Mytilus edulis: one gene and its partner. The protein of the gene in region 1 interacts with the protein of each later gene in a pairwise test. Links are inferred from orthologs where the notes say so. Each region holds a gene or a part of one and is shown on either strand. Other genes may lie near its edges.

The links.
Region 2: the proteins of PCI domain-containing protein 2-like (region 1) and nuclear migration protein nudC-like interact in binary tests that used the Drosophila melanogaster proteins (3 or more experiments, as listed by UniProt). The link is inferred for Mytilus edulis from reciprocal best matches to the Drosophila melanogaster genes PCID2 and nudC.

The regions. Positions count from the first base shown.
Region 1 is NC_092346.1:45,878,098-45,889,596, reverse strand, and holds the start of PCI domain-containing protein 2-like, read left to right. Parts: upstream 1-6,475; 5' UTR 6,476-6,572; coding exon 6,573-6,608; intron 6,609-9,231; coding exon 9,232-9,273; intron 9,274-10,523; coding exon 10,524-10,645; intron 10,646-11,031; coding exon 11,032-11,097; intron 11,098-11,499. Other genes in the region: trafficking protein particle complex subunit 14-like, read right to left, coding at 634-745, 1,703-1,789, 2,275-2,494, 5,899-6,231. UniProt on the Drosophila melanogaster protein: Required for the export of nuclear mRNAs and involved in mRNA trafficking in the cytoplasm.
Region 2 is NC_092353.1:36,783,202-36,794,535, forward strand, and holds the start of nuclear migration protein nudC-like, read left to right. Parts: upstream 1-6,448; 5' UTR 6,449-6,609; coding exon 6,610-6,681; intron 6,682-8,895; coding exon 8,896-8,973; intron 8,974-9,792; coding exon 9,793-10,008; intron 10,009-10,495; coding exon 10,496-10,570; intron 10,571-11,334. Other genes in the region: uncharacterized protein, read right to left, coding at 721-865, 2,638-3,320, 6,308-6,387. UniProt on the Drosophila melanogaster protein: Chaperone protein with functions in nuclear localization and cytoplasmic mRNA trafficking.

The DNA of each region.
Region 1 (11,499 bases):
TTAATGAAAGAATACAAAGGGTATAGATATATATGCATGTACTGATGTATACTTTTTACATAAATGTGCATATGTGTAATTACTTATATTTTATTTACATTTGGTGATTTTCAACATCTGCAAAAGAAAGCTGTACTGAAACATGGTTTTACTGAAAATCATTTAAGCAAATAATTGTAAAAAGAAAATCTTGATTTCTTCAATAGACTCAAGCTTAAATCTAAAAACTTGAAATGAGAATAAAATTCAAAGGGTTGAAAAAGTTGCCTTTTTCTTTCTGAATAACATATCTAAGTATCTGAGTATTATTACTGTTGTATAGCAGGGCCTATTCTTAGCAGAGTAGAGTAGAGACAAAGTTAACTGAAGCCATCTTGCATCAACATATATTTTTTATTTTTTAAATACACATCATAAATTGCTAAAAATCTAAGCAACAAAATATCTCTTCATTATGATGCTTTATAAATCTTTAAAACTACTGCAAAAAAATAATATTAAATGTTGGTTCAAAGATAACAAGATACACAATGAATAAGGTAAAATGAAAGCTGACTCAACTGATTAGGAATTATATCAAATTATCCAACGTACCAATGTACCAACCTACCAATGAACCTGTAGAAGACTTACATATCATTCTGGACATCTCTGTGTTTATTGATAGTCTTGTCACAAGCAGGACAATGTCCTTTCATCAACATACAGTCGTTTATGGCTATGTCTTGTAAACTATCATTATTTACTGAAATTAATAAATAAATAAACAAATCCTTACAAACAATTTAAATATCAAATCTATTCCTGAAAATAAGATAACTATACAGTTCTATATTTCTAACATTTTTGCAAACATGTTTTTTTACTACTTTAACTTCTGAAATGTTCATTATATTAGTGAATTGATAGATTCAAAAATTTTTATGAACTTCTGCATTGGATTGCTGTCACTTATCTCATGTTATTCATATTCATAATAATGTGATACCTTTACAATGAAGGCTTTTCAACAACTGTCTTTATAATGACATTATAACAGTTATTGTATGTTTATGTTGTTTGAATTTGTCACCTTAAAAAGTGTTAACATTTTCACTGTGTTATTATTCTAATGTCAAGAAGCAGTTCAGAGTCATGCCATAGGTATAGTCAGATTTGCAAGAAAAATCAATATAGCTTTAGAATTAGAAAAAAAAGTTGTAACCTTTTTATTTTGCTTAAACATGATAAGAAAAGTTAATGTTTGTAAAGTATACAACTAAAATCAGTCACTAATGTTCTTAAGTCTTTAATTTACAAGGGACCATTACTGGCCTCATCTTTGCTTTTGTATAAAACCAACAATGAAAAAAAATGATTTTTTATGAAAAATATTTGTTTTGGACAATTTTGTGCACTTTACACACAAATGGGCTACAGTATCATGATTTTTATTCTATTACATTTCAAAACATGTTTAACCCCACCATATTCTGTATGTGCAAGTAATTCAGTGGTTGTCTTTTGTTGCTGTGTTACATATTTGTTTTTCATTCATTATTTTGTTTATAAATTAGGCTGTTAATTTTCTTGTTTGAATTATTTTACATTTGTCATTTCAAGGTCTTCATAGCTGACTTTATGATATTGGCTTTGCTCATTGTTGAAGACAATACATTGACCTATAATTGTTAATTTCTGTGTCATTTTTGTCTTCACTTACCACTGAGAAAAATCATAAATTGTCCAGAAACATCTTTGTACTTCACTTGAAGTTTTGGTGGCTGGTGAATACGTAAAGTTCTTGAGACTAAATTGGAAACAAAACATAAATTAAAACATTTTCAAATCTGAATTAAATATTCCTTTTCCACCAACATTGCAAAATCCATTTTCTGTTTTTATTATTTTGTTTTAATCCTGAATATGCATTAATTATCTGCCACTGGACATAATTCAAGGAGTTTTGTGGTTTATTTTGTAATTTCATACATTGTTTTCTTTTTCTTTTTATGCATGTATTTCAGTGTACAAACAATGTTGTATATATAATGTATGTATCTTTTTTATGATAAGGATACAATGATAGTTTGTCTTTTGTTCCTATAGATGGCTAATGGAAACGTTGTGTGCTTAAAAATTATTTTTGTGAGATCATTTGATTATTGTACCATATATGTGTATGTAACTGTTGTAATTAATATGACGCTGATGCATTGAAAATCTAATGTAAAAATGTTTAATCTTTAGCCTGTTTTGCTTTTAAATAAAGTATTATTATTAAAAATCAAATACCTGACTTTTGAGTATAAATCTTTTCTTTCTCTGGTAAAGGTTTAATGTCATCAACCTTCAACAAGAAATCACTTTCTCCTAACATTCTCTTTGGGCAAGGTATTGGCTTGACAATGGACACTGTCAAATAAATTTTTGTATCGCACGATGAAATATTATTTACTGTTGCTTCCAATGGAACAATAAATGTTTTGTCATCAACAAAATAAGGCTTCTTCTCCTGAAATTAGAAAACAATAAAGTAAAGTGAGTTCAAAATAACTCACATTAGCATGTGTTTTTAACTGCATTTAACATTGATCAAGGTCAATAGCTCAAAATTACAATGCAGCAATAGTGGTTTTGGTTGAAATGTGTAATTTATATATCTATCTTCATTCTTCACAAGACACATACATGACATATACACATTTGAACATGTGCTTGATATTTTGTATAAAATATCACATTATGTACATTAATTGTATGTTTTCCACATTTTCTTTTAATATATATTTTTTCTCCCAAAAATGAAGGAAAATTCACAACGCATGTATGGTATTTTAAAGCTTCAATAACATGAATAAGAAAGCAACTACACAACATAAAATCACTGATAATAGATCTATATAAACTTTGGTAATTTGTTCGGAATTCATGAGGAATTCTAGTATTTACTTCTTTAATACATTTTTTAACAATACCACTGGACACTTATCAAATGACAATCAATCATTTTATAACATTCCCTAATGATTTCCATAGAAAACACCTATATTGATGGTTGGAGCCAGTCCATGAATGTTTATATGGGGACAGAGTCCCCAATAACAGTAGAAAATTCAATAAAAAAAAATACGGGAAAATTTCCCGAATTTTTCATTGTACTAATGAACTCAAAATCGTTCAAATTTTTTTTGTCATGTTTTGAAATCCCGGACCTGCGCAGAAATGTACAATGTACTTCCTTTTTCCAGTCTCGTTTGTATGAAACTTTGAGTAAAATATATATTTATTAGTCTAGTATAAAATAGGAAGGAACGCGCAATACCAATTTCATTTTTAATAATTCCTTGATATGAAAAAACGTTACCTGATGATAGCGTTTCTTTGTTTACATTGCATATGACGTCATAATTTAAATAACGTCACAACTAAATCCCTAACAACAGAACCAAAATCGGAAACGTTACGGTATTTCCGTTTCTTTTTTTTAAAACAAATATTTAAGTTACAAAAAAATAATTCATACAGACTTCGTCCCCATTTACAGGTAATGCCTGCCTCATATTATTGACTAAAGTAGCTGAATTTATCTGAGCAACATGGAAAAGGCAACTAGTGCAGCAGGAGCTAACACTTTTACCAAAATAACAAAGTTTTTTTTATGTTTCTTTCTGATCAATCTTGAGTTTTCTCTAATGTGTTTCTTTAAGCCATAGATTATTATAGTATTAATGAATGGGTGTTTTTATAATAGCCCTGTTATATGTCCAAGGTCTGTAATAATGGTTGAGGAAGTCTGTAATGGCCCGAGGCAACGCCGAGGGCTATTACAGACATCCGAGGCAATTATTACTGACCGAGGACATATAACAGGGCCATTATAAAAACACTCATTTCTTAATACATTTATTAACCAACTGATCAAAAGTGTATGTGTTTGTGCTAACTTGATGTACTGTCTTACTCTTTTAATGACAATTTAGTTTGAACAAAATAATTTGTACTTCACCATTATAAAGCTTTAAATGTACCAAATATCCAAGATATTAAGTTGAAAGAGATATGTGTTAAAAAACAGGATGAACAGTGATCCCTTTATATGGTTTTTTAATGTTGGTTGCTGGTTACTAAATTGAATAAAATACAAAAAGGTATTATACTCTTTACAACTTAGTTTTATTAACTTTATTAAAAACCCTAACAGGGCTTAATACAGACAAACTGGGCATTAATACAGGGCCATTACAGAAAAACAGGGCCATTACAGACAAAACAGGGCCATTACAGAAAAACAGGGCCATTACAGAAAAAACAGGGCCATTACAGAAAAACAGGGCCATTACAGAAAAAACAGGGCCATTACAGAAAAACAGGGCCATTACAGAAAAAAACAGGGCCATTACAGAAAATATGTAATTTTTAATAAACAGTCACTTTTGGCAATAATGCACTTAGTTGGTTAATAATACTTTTAACAAAACTTCTTGTTTTTGATACAAACTATATTAAGGATCCAGACAAAGACTATTTTTTATATAATTAATTGTATTTACCAAATGAATATAAAATATGTTAATAAATATAACCATTATATGGAGACGAAGTCCCCAATTACGGTAGAAAAATCAATAAAAATTTATAAAAAATCTAAAATTCGGGAATATTTCCCGAATTTTTTATACTACTAATGAACTCAAAATCGTTAACTTTTTTTTTCAGATCTACTTCCGTTTCCGGTCTTGTTTGCATAAATAAACACAATGTGAAACCTGGAAAGATTTGTTCTTTAAAAAGATGCATAATTCCAAATACATGAAATATTAGATTTCATTGAAAAAATTAATTTGTATTTCTCTATGAATAAAAAGTTGCAAAAGACTTATCCAGAACTTGAATAATTTGTGAGATTGTAACCTCTGTCTCTGAAAATCACTATTTTCTGAAAAACAATCACTGATACCTAAATTTTTGCATCTTAAAGTTGTTTGTCATTTTGTATATGTTCCAGACCATATGAGTATTTGGACCGTACGCGTACGGTCCGGACCGTATATGTATACTCGTACGGTCCGACCATACGCGTACGGTCGGACCGTATGAGTATACGCGTACGGTCCAGCTGATCATACGTTTTGGGATCATGTGGGTTAAATTTAAACAAACATTTATCAAAATCTTTATTTTTAGTTATACAAATTGTTATTATTACAAAATAGCTGGCCGATGATAAAGTGAATAAGCGAACAATTGAAATTAAATATTTGCTTAATTGTATATCCGTGAATTATATTTTGTTACTCTGGCCGAAGGTGACACTTGCTTCTAATAAGAACTTCGTATTTTTTACATTTACATGTTTTGTTAATGCATGTTCCTTTGCGTATGCATTTCTTTTGTAAAGTTCATAAATATTCTAAAACAATTGTCCTCCCACATTATGTTTACTTCCGATATCTTCAATTTCAATGAGCATACTGAGCTGCAATTAATGAATAACTGGCCTGCAAAATACAGGAGATTAACAGATTAAATAAGCGTGATCTTTTTAAATAGTTAAAATATTAAGTTTTTATGTCAAATGCTGTTGAACTTTTTATATTAATTGGAGATATAAGTCATGTTGATCTGTTATATACATTTGTATCTAATAAGCTTGACCAACTTCTTAATATCTGTCAGACCGTACCCGTACGGTCCGACCGTATGCGTATTTTGAAAAAGTACGCATACAGTCCAGACCGTACGCGTACGGTCCAAATACTCATACGGTCTGGAACATATATACTAATCAATAAGACACTTGAAATTGTTCCCAATTAGTCCAAATAAGTTTTTGGATATTAAACTTATATGACAGCCCATTTTATTTGAAGATTCTTTGATACATGTAGGTCTTACAACTTTAGAAAATCAACTTACATGTAGTTTTAAATGTGTTTTTGTGTCAGCTGTGCTTTTAAACACATTGCACAAAAAGTAACTTTTATTGTAAGACAGTTCATTTTCGTCGATATTAGGTATATTTTTTGCAACGTGGAAATTGACGTGTCCATAAAGATTTTCAATTCTTTTTTTCCATTTATTAATGTTCCCATTCAAACACGAAGGAAAATTAACAATCACATTAACAAGATACGTTTTCCCAATATTTACACACTTAAATTTGTCACTGTATTGCACATCACTTCCATTTTGTTTCTGCTTCTCAAATATATGCAAAATTATGTTAGAAAGATCAGCATCTTCTTCCATGATCTGTGCTGTCTGCTAAAATCGTAGAGTACAGTGGTATTGCACCAATCAAGAAGTCCTTTCCCGAGACAGGAAGTCTAATTTATGACTATACAATTAATTGAAATTTGTGTTATTTGTGATTCATTTTCTTTTTCTAGTTTTAAATTATTTATAAAGAATACATAAAGAAAACACCGTATCACAAAAACAACTATCAAAATTGGTCGCAAAGACGTGGGAAGCTGTATGAGGATACTATCTGTTCAGTACTATCCTTGTAAAATCAAAACTTCCGGTTTCAATTTTCACATGGGTTGCATTGATTTTTAAGCCCTGTAAACATTTATTGGCCATTGAAAATGGCAACTTGGTCAATGAACCAGTATTTTCAAACAGTAAGTTTATGTTTTATAGGAAATGAAAAAAATCACTTTGCTCCTTAAAATATACTTGTTTATATTTAAACTGGAAAACAATTTTTTTACAAAAAAGAAAGAGTAAAAAATTATACATGATATATAATATATAAGAAAGACAAAGTGCTGACAAAGTTGTCCAAGACATAAAAAACATGGCTAAACAATTTAAGGTTCATCATAACAAACGGACAAATATGGCTGTATTTACATGCCAAAAATTACTCTGAGTACAGACTTACCTGTGCAGTTGGAAAAGTTTTAATGCCTGGCATCAACTAGATATAATAAAGTTAAATGCATTTTGTGTTTCAGAAAGATAAAATCTCTTTTGGATTTTTCCTTCGTGCAAAAGTTCTGAAAATTGACTAAGTTGTGGTACAACTATGAGATGCTCCCTCAGGTAAAAAAACGGTTTGTATTGTTTTGATTGTCCTTAATTGGCGGTATCGGGATTGTTCGTCCTGATTACATGTTCGCCCTAGGTTCGTTCGCACTGAGTCTGTTAGCCCTGATAGTCCGTTCGCCCTGGGTTCGTTCGCCCTATATTCATTTTATTTATGATATGTATATATTACATTAACGAACGAAATATATATATATATTTATATATTGAAATTCATGTATATCTATTAAAAGTTAAATACAGAATATTTGCCAAATTTATATTAATTAAATAAAGTTCTTGGCTGCATTGTTACACTTTATTTTATAATTACTTTTAATTACTGTTGATTGAATTTTGATTGCTGATTATAAGGTATCATTTGAAATCTTTGATATCACTGATTGTTATATGAATTGTCTTTGATGGATTAATAATGAAAATAACGTTTTTCTCAAATAAAATAGTCAGCTTGGATGGGTAAAAACACTGATGACAAGTGATCAATGTACAGCAGTGTGACTGTGTTTTTGGTATTTGTTTCACTTATAGTAATTCATATTAGTGCTTTTAAATATTCGTTTAGGAAATAAAGGTGTGCGAAGTACAGTTCGGAATTGATCTTGTATAACTGTTACTGAATATTTTTATATTGTTAAAATGTATCAATAAAGTTAAATTTAGACTTAGTCTTTAGTTGTTTTATGTCAAATATTTTGTAGTCTTTGAATTCACAGAAACTTATCCTCGTAGCAGCTTGAAGACAACAAGTCTTCAGTTGTTTCACATTTAAAAATATTGTAAATATTCGACCAAATTGTAGACTGACTTCACCAAATTCAATTATATACACACAACGCAACACTATACTAAAAAATAAAATCAGGGCGAACGGACTCGAGGCGAACAGGTATTAGGGCGAACAGAAACTAGGGCGAACCAGAATCAGGGCGGACGGACCCGGATTCTTAATTGGCATGGACAAGAGGTATCTTCACAACTGCAGTTGAGATAAAGAGTTCGTCTGAGTCAGTGAGTGGACAGTATCAAAGTAATGCAGGTGTTTGTTTATTTTTACACCTTCTGCAGAAAGGAAAAAAATGCCCAGCAAAAACCAAAAAAGATTTTATCTTTCTTTAACACAAAATGCATTTAACTTTTATATATCTAGTGGATGCTAGGCATTAAAACTTTCCAAACAGCACAGGTAAGTCTGTACACAGAGTAGTTTTTGAGGTGAAAATACGGCCATATTTGTCCAATTGTTATGATGAACCTTAAACAAAAAGACAACAATTTTTTCTAAAAAATGGAACAAAAACTACTTGACCATCACCATGATCACTGACAACTGACACTGTAAGCTGACTGTTAATATGAGGCAGGCATAACCTGTGAATGGGGAAGAAGTCTGTATGAATTATTTTTTTTGTGACTTAGATATTTGTTAAAAAAAAAAAAAAACGTAAATACTGTAACGTTTCCGATTTTGGTTCTGTTGTAAGTGATTTTACTTGTGAGTTATTTAAGTTATGACGTCATGTTCAATGTAAACAAAGAAACGCAATGCATCAGGTAACGTTCATTTATATCAAAGACAAAGAATTATTAAAAATGAAATATTGGTATTGTGTACCTTGAGTTCCAATATTTTACTAGACTACACAACGAGACCTGAAGAAGGAAGTTGATTTCTGCATTCTGGGCAAATGTGGGAATTAAAAAAAGGGACAAAAAGAATTTGAACGATTTTGAGTTTAGTAGTACAATGAAAATTTCAGGGTTTTCCCGATTTATTTTTTATTGATTTTTCTACTGTAATAGGGGACTTCGTCCCCATATGAATTGCCAAATGTTTAAATGTTCTACATATATTTAAAAAAATGTTAATAAGTTGTATAGCTAGTCATGCTAGTGTCAGTTAAATTTGCTTCCATACAGTTGGTTTTTTTCCTCATAGTTCTTCATTCCTGGCTTCAAAGCATTGAAAAACTAATGAAAACACAAAAGGTTCAAAATAGGGATCAGAGAGTGATCAATAGATTATCTCACAACTGCTTCTAGTGACCACACATTTATGACATTAAGATTTGTTGCTGGAAAAGATTTATTTAGAATTTTGGCTTTACACAAACATGCCTAATGTTAAACAGTTTATATGTAACCATCTTAGAATATTCAATATAAGAGATAATGACAAAGTATCTTTATTTTTAGTTAGATGATGCCTTACAAGAAAGAGATGGGTTGAAAACAGCAGTAAGTTATTGATTTTAGATGTAAATCTATTTTTGTAACAATTTCTGAGCAATAGTTAACAGAATATGTCCCTTTTTTACATGTAACATGTTGAAAATGAAAAAAGTTAATGTGAAATAGATTTTGATAAATAAATTTAGACAAGATGAGAAAAGTATTTTTCCTATTTTGCACATTAGCTAAAGTTTTTCATTACTCTTTTCTTTTCAATTTCATTTTAGTTTTTGCATGTGTGCATGTGAAGAAAAATTATTTAAAGTTATCAATAATTAGTCAATTTTTATACGCCTGTCAAAATTTTGACGGGACATATTATGGTATACAAATGTCCGGCGTCCGTCCGTCTGTCCGGCGTAAACATGTTGCACCGTAACTTGAGAACGACTTATCCCAATTTCATGAAACTTGATATTGTTGTTTCTTATGATGGTCAAATGATCTGTATACTATACTTTTTGATGAAAATTAGATTAAAACTTTTTGAGTTACCGGACTTTCTAAATAAAACAGGGGTGTGTTTTTTCCCATGTCCCGCCGTATCTCAAAAACAATTTATGATAATTGATTAAAACTTTACACACTTCTTAGTTATATTAATCTTAAGATCTGTATACTTTTTGGTGATGATACAAAATTTCATTTTTCAGTTATTGAGTATTTTGTAAAAAAGGAGGGTTCACATGTCACGCCCTATCTCAAAAACAATTTATGCTTATAGCTTTAAACTTTACACACTTCTTAGTTATATTAATCGTAAGATCTGTTTCCTTTTTGGTGATGATTCAAGATTTTATTTAAGAGTTATTGAGGGTTTTTTTGTTAAAAAAAATGTGTTTTCACATTTCGTGCTGTATCTCAAAGACAATATATGATTATTGTTTAAAACTTTACACACTTCTTAGTTATAATAATCTTAAGATCTGTATACTTTTTGGTGATGATTCAAAATTTTACTTAAGAGTTAATAAGTTTTTTGTTAAAAAAGGTGTGTTTTCATTTCACATGTCACCGTATCTCAGAAACTTATAATTTATGATTATTGCATAAAATAACGGGTGTATCATGCGCTCATGGCACAGCTGTTTATTGAACTTGTTAATGTACTGTACCCATAGTTTTTATGGTGAAGTACCAAAATCAATCAGAAGTTTTTAAAAATCTACAGCTAAATAATGAAGAAAAATTAACCAATGAACAGAATGAACCATTATGCAATCAATTTATTATATTTTGTTTGACATTTTTTCCAGGAATTACTGTCATTCCAACATCCACATATTCAAAATCCTCGACTACAGGTAGAGCATCCAGAATCTCAGGTCCAGAGAGTTTTTGATAGTCCATTTGATGAAATGATTGCTGCTCATTTAAGGTTAGTCTAGAAAAAAATATGAAGTGTAAAGGACAAAGCAAATTAAAAACAAACAAAGTTACAAACACACACATATAATTTATCAATACAGGTACTCATAAAAATTTTGATTTTGCCATGAAAATTAATTCCTGAAGTATATATGTAGCATTTATATTTACGGTTAGATCTTTTATACATGACAGTACTTTCAACACTGAGCATTAGCTGACACTGAACAGCACGCTATAAAGGGCCTCAAAAATAATTATATACATATTTTTATGACATTGTCTATAATCATAGTACTTACTACAATGTACGAATATCTAAATACTGTCATTTACATAACAAGAAAAACCAAAAAGACAAGAGTTCTTGATAGATTTTTCATTTTATTTTTGCAGATGTTGCTGGGCTGTTTCAAATCATGATTTTATTGAAGCATATGGCTGCCAATCTGTTGTTGCACAGTATCCTTCTTTAAACTTGTTGTTTTATCAATAAGAGGGGAACATGTTTGTTAAAAATATGTTTTTGATTTTCATCTAGCAGTAGAAAAGATCTTCAACATAGGCATAAATGAGTTGCAATGTTTAAAATTTTTAAAAATGATACTGAATGTATATTGTGTACGTACTATTTCACAAAAACTTTGTGGATTATTTTTTAGGAATATTTAAAAAGATGAAAACTATCACAAATTTACAAGCATTGTCCTTCGATCTTATGATTCTTCATTGACTTCATAATTTTTACTGTGACACCTGGAATTTAGCTTTCTATATGAATACATGGATCTGTTATTCAAACAGACATCTTTTATATTTCTGAATTCCAAAAAATATAACTCATGTGTATTATTATATGATATT
Region 2 (11,334 bases), on another chromosome or scaffold:
AAAAACTTATGAAAAAACATTGTCAAAATCTGATAAAAATTAAACAAGCCAAATTAAATTCAATCAACGTGTTTGGTTTCACAATAAAACAGTATAACGTATTTTTTTGATGAATATTTCAACTACCAATGTTTTGACATCACCAATTAATTAATTATATTATGTACAATAGTGATTATTATACCAATTTTTTCTTTTTGGATTTTTTTTAACTTTTTATGCAAGTAGGGGCAAATATATGAATTTTTCATCATTAATATCCTAAATTATCCATTTAAAGGAACTACATGTACAATGTAGTTGTTTTTAAAATTGGTACCCAACTGACAAACTATAAGACTATCACCTTGGATATCATATGTTTCTTATATTCATAAAAACACTGACATACATGTACAAATGAAGAATTTCTGAATAATGCCTTGAATATACAAAATGTATAACCCCTAAAAATCTTATCTTTGTAACTTGGTTAGGGATCAAGATAGTGAGTGTTCAATTCAGAAAAATGAAATCAAAGTGTACTTTATTGGGAGAAACCATTTTATACCATGGTACACAATGTATCACCTTATTTTGCTCTTTAAGTTTTTACAAATCTCATTTTTAATCTGTACATTGATTGACTTTGGTGGCCTTTGACTGTTTTCTGCTTTGGTAGGGTTAATGTCTCTTTGAAACATTTCCCATTTACCATTTTAATTTTATTTAATTGCTTACCATTTTTTATGTGGTCCCCTCAGTCTCTCCAGCTCTTGTAATCTTTTCAGTTCTAAGTATCTATCTTCCTCAATGCGTAGTCTCTCCATTCTAAGTGATGCCAAGTCAGATACAAATGGAGATGTGTATAATGGTGATGACTTGCCTACAACATACATTTTGTAGTCATATACATGTAAAGTTTAATATTTCTATAAGAATAATTCTGCACTGTTTTGTTATTAAAACAAAATGGGCTAAAATTGTCATTTATCAGGAAAAGAAAGAATTATTTCGTAAATAGCTTCTGTTCACGAATTGCAATTATTTTTTTTTCTAAAATATAAGTTCTCATTTTATGGAGTGCATTTGAAGTTAGTAGACTGACTGGGTGGCTATTTCTATTGAAACAAATTTGTTAATAATGTATACATTTACATCCAAAGTTAGATGTACATGTAGATAAGGCCACACCAATTTAATTTCTTGTTCTACCGATTTTTGGACTCCAAAATTTGGGGCGAGCGAGCGATTTGAAAATTTTAATAAAAAAATATTTAATTTGAAAATTTTTGAGGCGAAGCTTGAAAAGTAAAGGCGAGCAATTATAATTTTTTTTTGTAAACATAAAATAGTAGGTTTTGACAATATTAAAACTTGATTTATCACTTGTACTTTGACATATCTTTAATTTCTGAAGTATTTTTGCCCTGTTCACCAAGAAATAATTAAATCTGGTCTATGTATGTGTAACTGACAATGAGACAATTCTCAATCCAAGTCATAATCAGTTTTGGGGCAACCCCTTAATGTTATAAATATCCCTTTTACCGTACATGTTTTATGAGGGATCAATATATAAAAATATAATATATTTGTTTGTACAAAAGGGCTCATATTTTCTCAAAGAACTATATATCTATCTGGTATTAAATGGTCAAAACATGTCCAAGAATTTTTGTAATATTCCTGGACTTTAACCATGTTAACACATTTACTTTAACAGTTTAATATTATTCAAAATAAGTGGACCCCTCTTTTAGAAAAAGTTGTTTAACATATGATGTACTAACTTTCCTCTTTTTGAGTACAAAATTCTAAGTTTTCAAAGGTTTTGTATAGAAGAACTATACAAATCCTTGGTATTTCTATTTTCTTTTCTACATCAGTAAAATGACACTTTGTTCTCAACCTGATAATAACAAACACAGGTCAAAGTACGGCCTTTTACACAGGGCTTTGATACAGACCAAACAGCAAGCTAAAAGGGAGTCAAAAATTATTAGCGTACACAATTCAAAAAACCAACGATCTAATTTATATATCCGAACCGGAAAATACCAATGAACCACATCAACAAATGATAACTGCTGAACGACAGGCCCCTGAATCAATCAGGACAGGTTGCATAAACATGCAGCGGCTATGGATAGTTTGTTTCGCCAGCATACAATATAATTGCAGTTGAAGGCAAATCCTTCAGAAGTTCTTTGTACTTTATTCTAACAACGAACATATTTTGATAGGGAATATTAGTAAGGGGGAAAGAAACCATTTTTTTGTTCTTGAAAGGTATTCCCGCTGTTATAAATTTACATCGGAGCACTCTCACTTTTGATAAATAGGTTTCATGCTAAAACAAATATTCTCACAGATATTTACACAGTGTGGTGGGGTGCTTTTATGTTTAAAATCGTTATATACAGGTTAGACTGTTATTTTAAAAACAAATGTTGATATCTTTTTATAATATTTACAAAAAAAAACGGTGCGGGGAATGGACATGATTACATTTCCGGATGCGGGAAGCGGGAATATAAAAAAAAAAAAAAATATTCTGTTTTGAAAAAAATAGGTGCGGGCGGGTCCGTCGAACAAGGAATCAAATTGGTGTGGCCTAAAAACAGACTAAAAGAAAGAAAGAAGATTAATTCTTACGTGTTGCAGGAGCCTCTGAACCCAATAGGTACATAGAATTGACACTATTTGGCTCATAGCTAGTCTTTACATATGATTTTGCTGTTCTAGGTCGTGGCTTGTTTTCAAGTTCTTCCAACTTCCTGTCTAAATCACTAAGTTCATAGGAGGCCTGTAATGTCACAGGAAAAAACTTCAATCCGTTTGAATCCCTATATTTCAATGAATAATTTCTTTCATCATCATTAAGCTGTCTTGTATCTTGAAGGGCTAGAGCAGCACCTAACGTTCCACTATTCTTTTGAGGTGACCTTGACCTTGAAGATGCTCCATATCGTGGCGATAATGAATATTCCTGACGGCTTAAGTGAACAGGTTTTGTATACCACAATTCCTTACCATCATCAACAGGAAGACCTCCAAAAGATTCAGTAAACAGCTTCCTGTCTCTAATTCTGTCATATTCTTCTTCTAAAGGAGTTTTGTGACTCAAACTGTAAGGCGAGTGATGACCAGAAAATGTCACACTTCTTCGCAATGTACTGTCTACATTTTTGCTAGTATTTTCCAAACTTTTGGCAAGATCTCCTAGTGACTCTGCATATTTTCTGTCGCGGTAATTATCCTCCTGATCTAATATGTGTTGACTTAATCGTGATGTTGTGTTTGTAATTCGAGAGTTCCTCAATCCTAAAGGCTTTTCACTGAAAGGACATATAAAAGAGAAAACTTTAATTATCAGGTGGCAGTTACATGTAATATTAGAGTGTATACTTTTACGTATTTTAAAAGTGATCAATAATATGGCCATTGATTGTTGTACTTGTGTTTTATTTGGCACGAAATTATGTTACATTTTATTGTCAAGAGTCCAATATCTTGGACATACACATTTCATGCATGGTGCAGCTTGTAACTTTAGTCAATAATAACAGCATTGTTTGACTCTTTCTTCGGCTTAGTAATCATCGCTGTCTTAGTCAATACCACTGTCCTTAAAGGGACGTCAATATATCACGATAATGACCAGTTTTTCAATAACTATTATGTAATGAAATGTGTGTTTTGACAATTGTTCTTTTCCACATGCTTTCTAAAGCTTATTTTTGATACATGAAGGATTTTTATACATGTACTACAAATATTTTTCAGTTTGAGCCAAACTTTATTTTATTTTTATAAAAATTTGACTTAAAATGAAACCAATTTTTTCTGATGATGTAATTATGTTATGTTTAAATGTAAAACGGCTAAATATGACCACATGGTTAATCATGAACTAAGTATCATCGACTTCTACATACATCTTTATATATATGTTAATGAAAGCAATCCTATCACAGTAGAATACATGTAGGTCAGATCCAAAATTTTTAGGAGGGGTTTGGGGGAATTCCAGGAACCAGTATAAAAGACTTTGAAGGATTCCTTGCTTAATTACATGTAAGGCACCAACACTTCGGTGCCATGATTTTCCCAGGACATCAAGAAATAATTTCCTAAGGTCAAGAACCGATTGATTTGTCAGGAAAAACTTGATTTTACAAGGTGTTACATACTACCTACCATAAAATGGTCGGATTATTCATATCCGACTAAACGGATTAAGACATCCATAAAAATAAGTCTCTACTCGTACTGTATACTACTTAAAATAATATTAAAAGTTTTAAGATAGCTGTGTTTAATCAATCAAAGTGCATTTAACTTCAGGCAATCGATTACCATGTCTTGTGGACGTAATTTTTCAAAAGGTAGACAACCTAATTTGTATACATTTTGTACAAGATATAAAATCAATTTTCTAACTTGTAATTTTATTGAGTATAAACGACCATATAGTATGTACATGTATATAACACCATGTCAAATCAAGTTTTCAGGTGAAAACAATCAGTCCTTGGAAATTTGATTAGTTCTTGCTATCCTATGAAAATCATGGTACATGTACCCCTACCGCCGGTACCTCGAATGACCGAATAACACTGTTAATATCAGAATAACACTTGTAATTCCCGAATAACACTTGTGATTTCAATATTAGCACATATTGGTGACTTTTAAACATTGATTATTAATTAATAGTATATTATCGATGTATTTTATAACTTATAAATGATTTACAGAAAGCAGATAAGTTCATAAAAAACTTTTAAAATTTAGTGTGTACATCGAATATGGCGACCACAGAAATCACAATGGCCGCCATGTTCGATGTACACACTAAATTTAAAATTTTCTTTATGAACTTATCTGCTTTTTGTAAATCATTTTTAAGTTATAAAATACATCGATGATACATTACTATTTAATAATTAATGTTCAAAAGTCACAAATATGTGATAATAATATGAGGCAGGCATAACCTGAGAATGGAGACGAAGTCCGTATGATTTTTTTTTTATGAATGTTAAAAAGAGAAACGAAAATACCGTAACGTTTCCGATTTTGGTTCTGTTGTTAAGGATTTAGTTGTGATGTTATAATGTCATATTCAATGTAAACAAAGAACGTTATGTTTCTGATTTTGGTTCTGTTGTTAGGGATTTTAGTTGTGACGTTATTAAAGTTATGACGTCATATTCAATGTAAACAAAGAAAAGCTATCATCATGTAACGTTTTTTTTTTTTTTTTTTTTATAACAAACAATTTTTAAAAATGAATCCTTTCTTCGACTGATAAATATACATTTTACAAAGTCTCATGCAAACAAGACCGGAAACGGAAGTAGATTTCTGTGCAGAACCGGAAATTCAAAAATTCGACAAAAAAAAATTGAACGATTTTGAGTTCATTAGTACAATTTCCTGATTTTTTTTTTTTTTTTTTTTTTTTTTTATTGAATTTTCTACTGTTATTGGGGTTCTGTTGTTAGGGATTTAGTTGTGACGTTATTTAAATTATGACGTCATATGCAATGTAAACAAAGAAACGCTATCATCAGGTAACGTTTTTTCATAACAAGGAATTATTAAAAATGAAATTAGTATTGCGCGTTCCTTCCTATTTTATACTAGACTGATAAATATATATTTTACTCAAAGTTTCATACAAACGAGACCAGAAAAAGGAAGTACATTGTACATTTCTGCGCAGGTCCGGGATTTCAAAACACGACAAAAAAAATTGAACGATTTGAGTTCATTAGTACATAGCTGCGAAAACGTAGCTCTTAAGGTCCTTTTGATGATTTTTGATATTTGCGGATACTAGATTCAACTGTTGTCAATATATATCAATTAAATTAATTTGCATTGAAGTCTATGGAAAATCTAGAGGATTCTTAGCCGCATCACCTCTCAACATTGTTTACATAACACAAATGCTAATCATTGATTGGTCAGTTACATGTTGTGATGTCACTGCAGATCTGAGATATTCTCATGATAATGATGTTTTGTACAGATTTATGACCCAAAAGAATTGGACAAAGGCATAAATCAAACATTGTCAATGATTCGGAATGGTTTATTTGAAGTTATGTCTACTTGGGATGTAGAAGTATCAAACCAAACCAGTATGACAATAACAGTAAAAGTCCTGTCAAGACTGGTAGCGATTGTTTTGATACTTGAATGTTTTGAGTTATCTCCACTTGTCAGGTGCTTGTTAACCCTTAATTTATTATGCATTAAAGAATATTGTCTACTACTGCTGAGAACGTATATTCAGTTTAATTTTTAAAAAGACCTGTATGAAGCTCTCTGTCCATGTAAAACAAAATCTTCATCGGGGTTAAGGAATTGTTGGCTTCTTGTAAATTCCCGCATGCTGAAATTCTTTTGTTTACGGAAGTAGATAGTTGGATACGACGCATGCGAAGAGCAAAGCAGTGCATCTGAATCTCTGAACCGCTCTAAGAAATTGATTTTTGAACGAACATACAAGTTTCAAGCGCACCTTGATCTCCGGTGTGGACATGCACATTTCCGTTCAACGATTTTGAAAGCGAAAGAAGACCTACGAAACACACTTACCAGACAAATAAAACAATGGCAGACCCCCAAAGATTTGATGGCATGTTGCTTGCTATGGCTCAGCAGTGTGATGGTGGAATACAGGAGGTACTTTAATTCATTTCACACAAATATTGGGTAACATGAAGAAAGTTGTGCTTGGAAGTAGAGATCCCAAATGGTCTAGAATGTTCTGCCTGGCTATCTATCACCCCCTCCCCTTTTCTCTCTCTCTTTCTCTTTAAACGACGTACATATATATATAGCCCCACAGGACGCAATTACGACTGGACACAATTACGAACGATTTCCAATGTTTGCCCTCTTAGATCATATTTATTTATATTTATCAATAAATGTTTTTATAAATAAAAACCCTATTAAAATTCCCTTGTTTTAATGATAATACAATTTATGTGCACTCGGTGAATGTTGATGACGATGACAAAATCATTCTGAAAATATTATAAGAACGGCAATCTGGCCTGCAAGTTATATAAAAAAAAATAAAGGTAAGTGCATATTGCCTTTTATTGTTAATATATTGAAAGAAAAATATCTCCTGATTCCGTTCATATGCGTGATGCCTTTTATCTTGCCCTAATAACCCCACAATTGACGTTTTTTAGACTCTTGTGACCAATTTTATGGTCTGACAAAAGAAAATATGTTAATTTTATTGAAAAGTGCAGAGAACTCCGAAAGAAATGTTGACCTATATAAAAAAGATTCATAGATGAATGATAAGTACACCACCAAAATGGATAAACTTGAATTTAGTGCTCCTTTAAAGGAGGAACTTACATAAAAACAAAAAAAATCAGAAATCTTTCCTTTACACATGACCGAAATTTCGTCTGCAACCACTGCTGAAGTATTTGAAGTTAAAAAACAAACTTGTGCATCTTATTTTCCTATGAAAATGTGTTTGAGATAAAGATTAATGTATGCTTTATCTATGTAGACTCTTGTCATTGATTTCTTCTGCAAGATATATCAATATAGTGCTGTTCGGAATTGGGTCCATATGTGGCTCACTGACCCGTAAAACGAGGTCACGCAAATCTTGCTAAAGTATCCTAACGTGAATAAAAATTTATGTGGAATATGATGCAAAATGGAAAGCCTTCATACAAAATTCTATGGTATAAACAATTCAAGAAAAGTAGTCTACATAAAAAAATATTAATCACAGTTCAAAAATCGTTCGTAATTGTGTCCGGTAAGGCTATAGATATTTACACATGTCTCAAAACCAGGGTACGAATTCTGCTGAGAAAATAATGCCTACACAAAATTGCAGACCTAACATAAAATTTGTTGGGTAAAATGACTTAGTATCAGTATTAATATCGGTTTTTATGACGATTGGCTGTCTTTCGAGGTCACCTTGATGGTTAATTGGGATCTCCTGTAGTTGGTGATCGCAATACTGGTATACACAATTATGTAGCTGTGAATCCGTAGCTCTTAGGTGCCCATGTTATTTTTGGACTATTTGCAGACCTTAGAGCTTCTGATTTTTCCTATTTCAAAATGTTCGGAATTGCGACCCAGGTTCATGTCTCACCTCCGGTATAATGTATTTCCCAAAAATTTATTGTTTATAATCCATGCAAAGCTTGTCCCTATATATAGTTCGTTTTGTTGAATATTTTTTTTTAAGATATGACGTACCTATTTAAGTTTGAATATTCATTTCCTTAAAACTATTATCTAATTATTCCCATTTGTATACATTCTCTGCCTTTTTTGTTCAGCCACATTGAATCTTGTGATGTCACGTGCAAGAAAAACAAGAAAATATAATATGACTAATGATATCTATTTTATGATAAAACTTGTTTTGATTTGCGATTAGAATTATGTGGTTAATCTATTGAGGACTTCCAATAGTTTTTCAGTTGGATGCTACCATTGAATAAATCTCTTAAAGTCTAGTAAAGTGTGAGATTTTATCAATTTTATACTGTAAAGCCTATCAGATTTGTTTCTCTTTAGATATACTGCTCCCAGGTTTTAGTACAAAAAAAAATGTATGTTATAAATCAAATTTGAGAATTTGAGAAAAATTGGTTAACATGAATTCGACAGTTAATGTCCATATAATAATGAGAATAACTCATAATGCATATTCACCTACCAAAATTACAAATGTCAAACTATTCAAACCAGATTTAGCTCAAACATGCAGTTGTCATAGTTTTCCAAAAACTATTCATGAAACATTGACTGTTTGAACAATATTGTTAAGTGTGTAATATTGTTCATGTAGATATGTGTATATATAATTATTCATATTGATTTTCTCATATTTTGCAGTTGATAAGTGCCTTCTTTAGTTTCTTATTAAGAAAGACAGACTTTTACACAGGAGGATTGAGAGGAGATGGAGAAAAGGTAAGACTAGATTTTTCATATAAATTATTTTTTCTAATTATAGAAAGGAATTAATTATGAAATTCTTCCCATGTATTTTTGCTGAAAGTTTTATTTGGGATTGATAAACAACATGAAAAAAATAGACAATAAATGCCATAGGTATATTTTAAAAACTCATAAGTAGAAAAACAAATTGACAATGCCATGACAAAAGAAAGAAAAGGACACAAAGACAAACAAGAGTAAACACAGCAGAGAAAATTAAATACCATGGGCAATTCAAAGGTGATCAAATTCTCACGAAATAATTTAAATGTGGATATGACAGTTTTCTGCTTCAAAATGTCAATTTTTGTTACTGGGACTCATTTTGTGAGCTTTTTACTCCTTGAAAATTGCCAAAAAAATTGCCTCAGTGGATGTCCTACATTAAACCAAGGTTTGCCTTCAGATCATATTACAATATAGATCTGACATTAATTAGGACAGCTTGTTTTAGTTAACACAAATGCTACAGTGAGTAAGAGTAGTTATTTGGGAAAGATTTCCCTTTGAACCCCCTTCTGTTGATAGAATAGGCATATACATTGTATATATGCAGGAGAATTCAAAAGGAAGTCTTACCATAATTGTGTTAGTATAATTAAATTTATGTCTTAATATAAATAAACCATTATAGGTCAATGTATGGTTTTCAACAGGGAGCCTTGGCTCACGCCGTTCTTATACATGATACAGTATGTAGCATAAGTTGTTTTACACAATTCTTTTTCTTGAAATATTTTTCTTAAAATGGAATACACATGCTTTCAGATTTAAGTCTTGACTTTTTTTCAGATGATTATGAATGCATTTAAACGTTACCAAGATATGGCAGAACAAAAAATGGCAGAGATAAAGAAGGAAAAAGATGAAGAGGAACAAAAGAGGAAAGATAGAATTGCCAAGAAAAAACAAAAGGAAGAAGAAGAGAGAAAGAAAATGGAAGAAGAGCCCAAAATTAAAGAAATTACAGACGAAGAAGCTGAAAAAATACAACAAGAAATAGAACAGGTGCTTAGTGTGGTCTTTGATAATGGTTTATTAAAGGGCTCAATGATGGTTCTGAGGATTCAATCTGTTTTCTTTGGTACCAGTTTTTTGTGGATCTAGAAATATATTTACATATGATTTTGTGGCTTTCCCAAAGTCTGCAAACTAGATCTAGAGTATAGAAAAAAATGGTATTTTGTTGAATATTTAAATGACTCCTTTACCATGTTTACCCTTTACAAACAAAATCCACAAAAATTGGTATCCTAAAAATAATAATAAATCCACAGTATTACATGTATACTGAAATTTTAATGGATTTTTCACACTAGAATTCAATCTTATGATTTTAATCTCTAGTTCACTGTTTTTTTTTTTTAATTTTTACTTCGCTTTAATATTCTTTGGCATATTCTTAAGTAAATATTTTATCTAAGACCTAATATATTAAACTCTTCAGTAAGATTTATAGCAAGCTCTTAATTTTATTTTTTCAATTGTTTAACAGAAAAAAGATGATAAAAAAGAAGAAAAACCTGTTGAGGAAGATAAGAAAGAAGAAACAAAAGAGGAAGAGAAAAAGGTTAGATTAAGACTCCTGCCATCTATTTTCAGGCGTGTTCATTATAGTGCTATAAATTAGATCATGTATGCAAAAAAAAGTTACAATATGATGCTTAATTTATACCAAACATAAAAGATGATATGACACCAGTAATACTGATGAAAAATAGAGGGAAGGTATTTGCCAACATTTTTTGGGATACGATTGCTTTCAAGCAATTTGTAGACTTATACCGGTGGCTCAGAGCAATTTCCCTCACGTCAATCGTTTTATTCTAAACATTAAGGAACATCTCAGATTCTTATGATTGTCTTGCTTTAAAAGGTAAAAACAAACAAAGGGATTGAACTTGAACAACTTTCCTATAATGTTCTTTTCATAATCTTCATGTTTGATAATTCCCTCGACTTCGATGCGTGTTTTAAACAACACGGAAAATCAGAATTTATATTTAGTATTGTTATAAATTTAGAAACACGTCAGAGGGAATTCCCAGTTTTGATAAAATGCGAGAGTTCTCTGAATGCTGATAAATCTATTTCTGTCATATAAGAACTGAAGTGGAGTTTTTCTTATATGTTACCGTTATGAAACTGATATTTGAGATTGTACTCCCATAAAGAAATTGAGAACCATCTAGGTCGTTTAATAAGCATTTAATATATCTTGCCCCAGGGTTTGATTTGGAAATTATGCGCATGCGTATAGTTTTCTTGACTTTAAGGTTTTTTTTAGATTGAATGGTTGCTCTGGATTCCCCACTCAATTAATTAATTTATAAC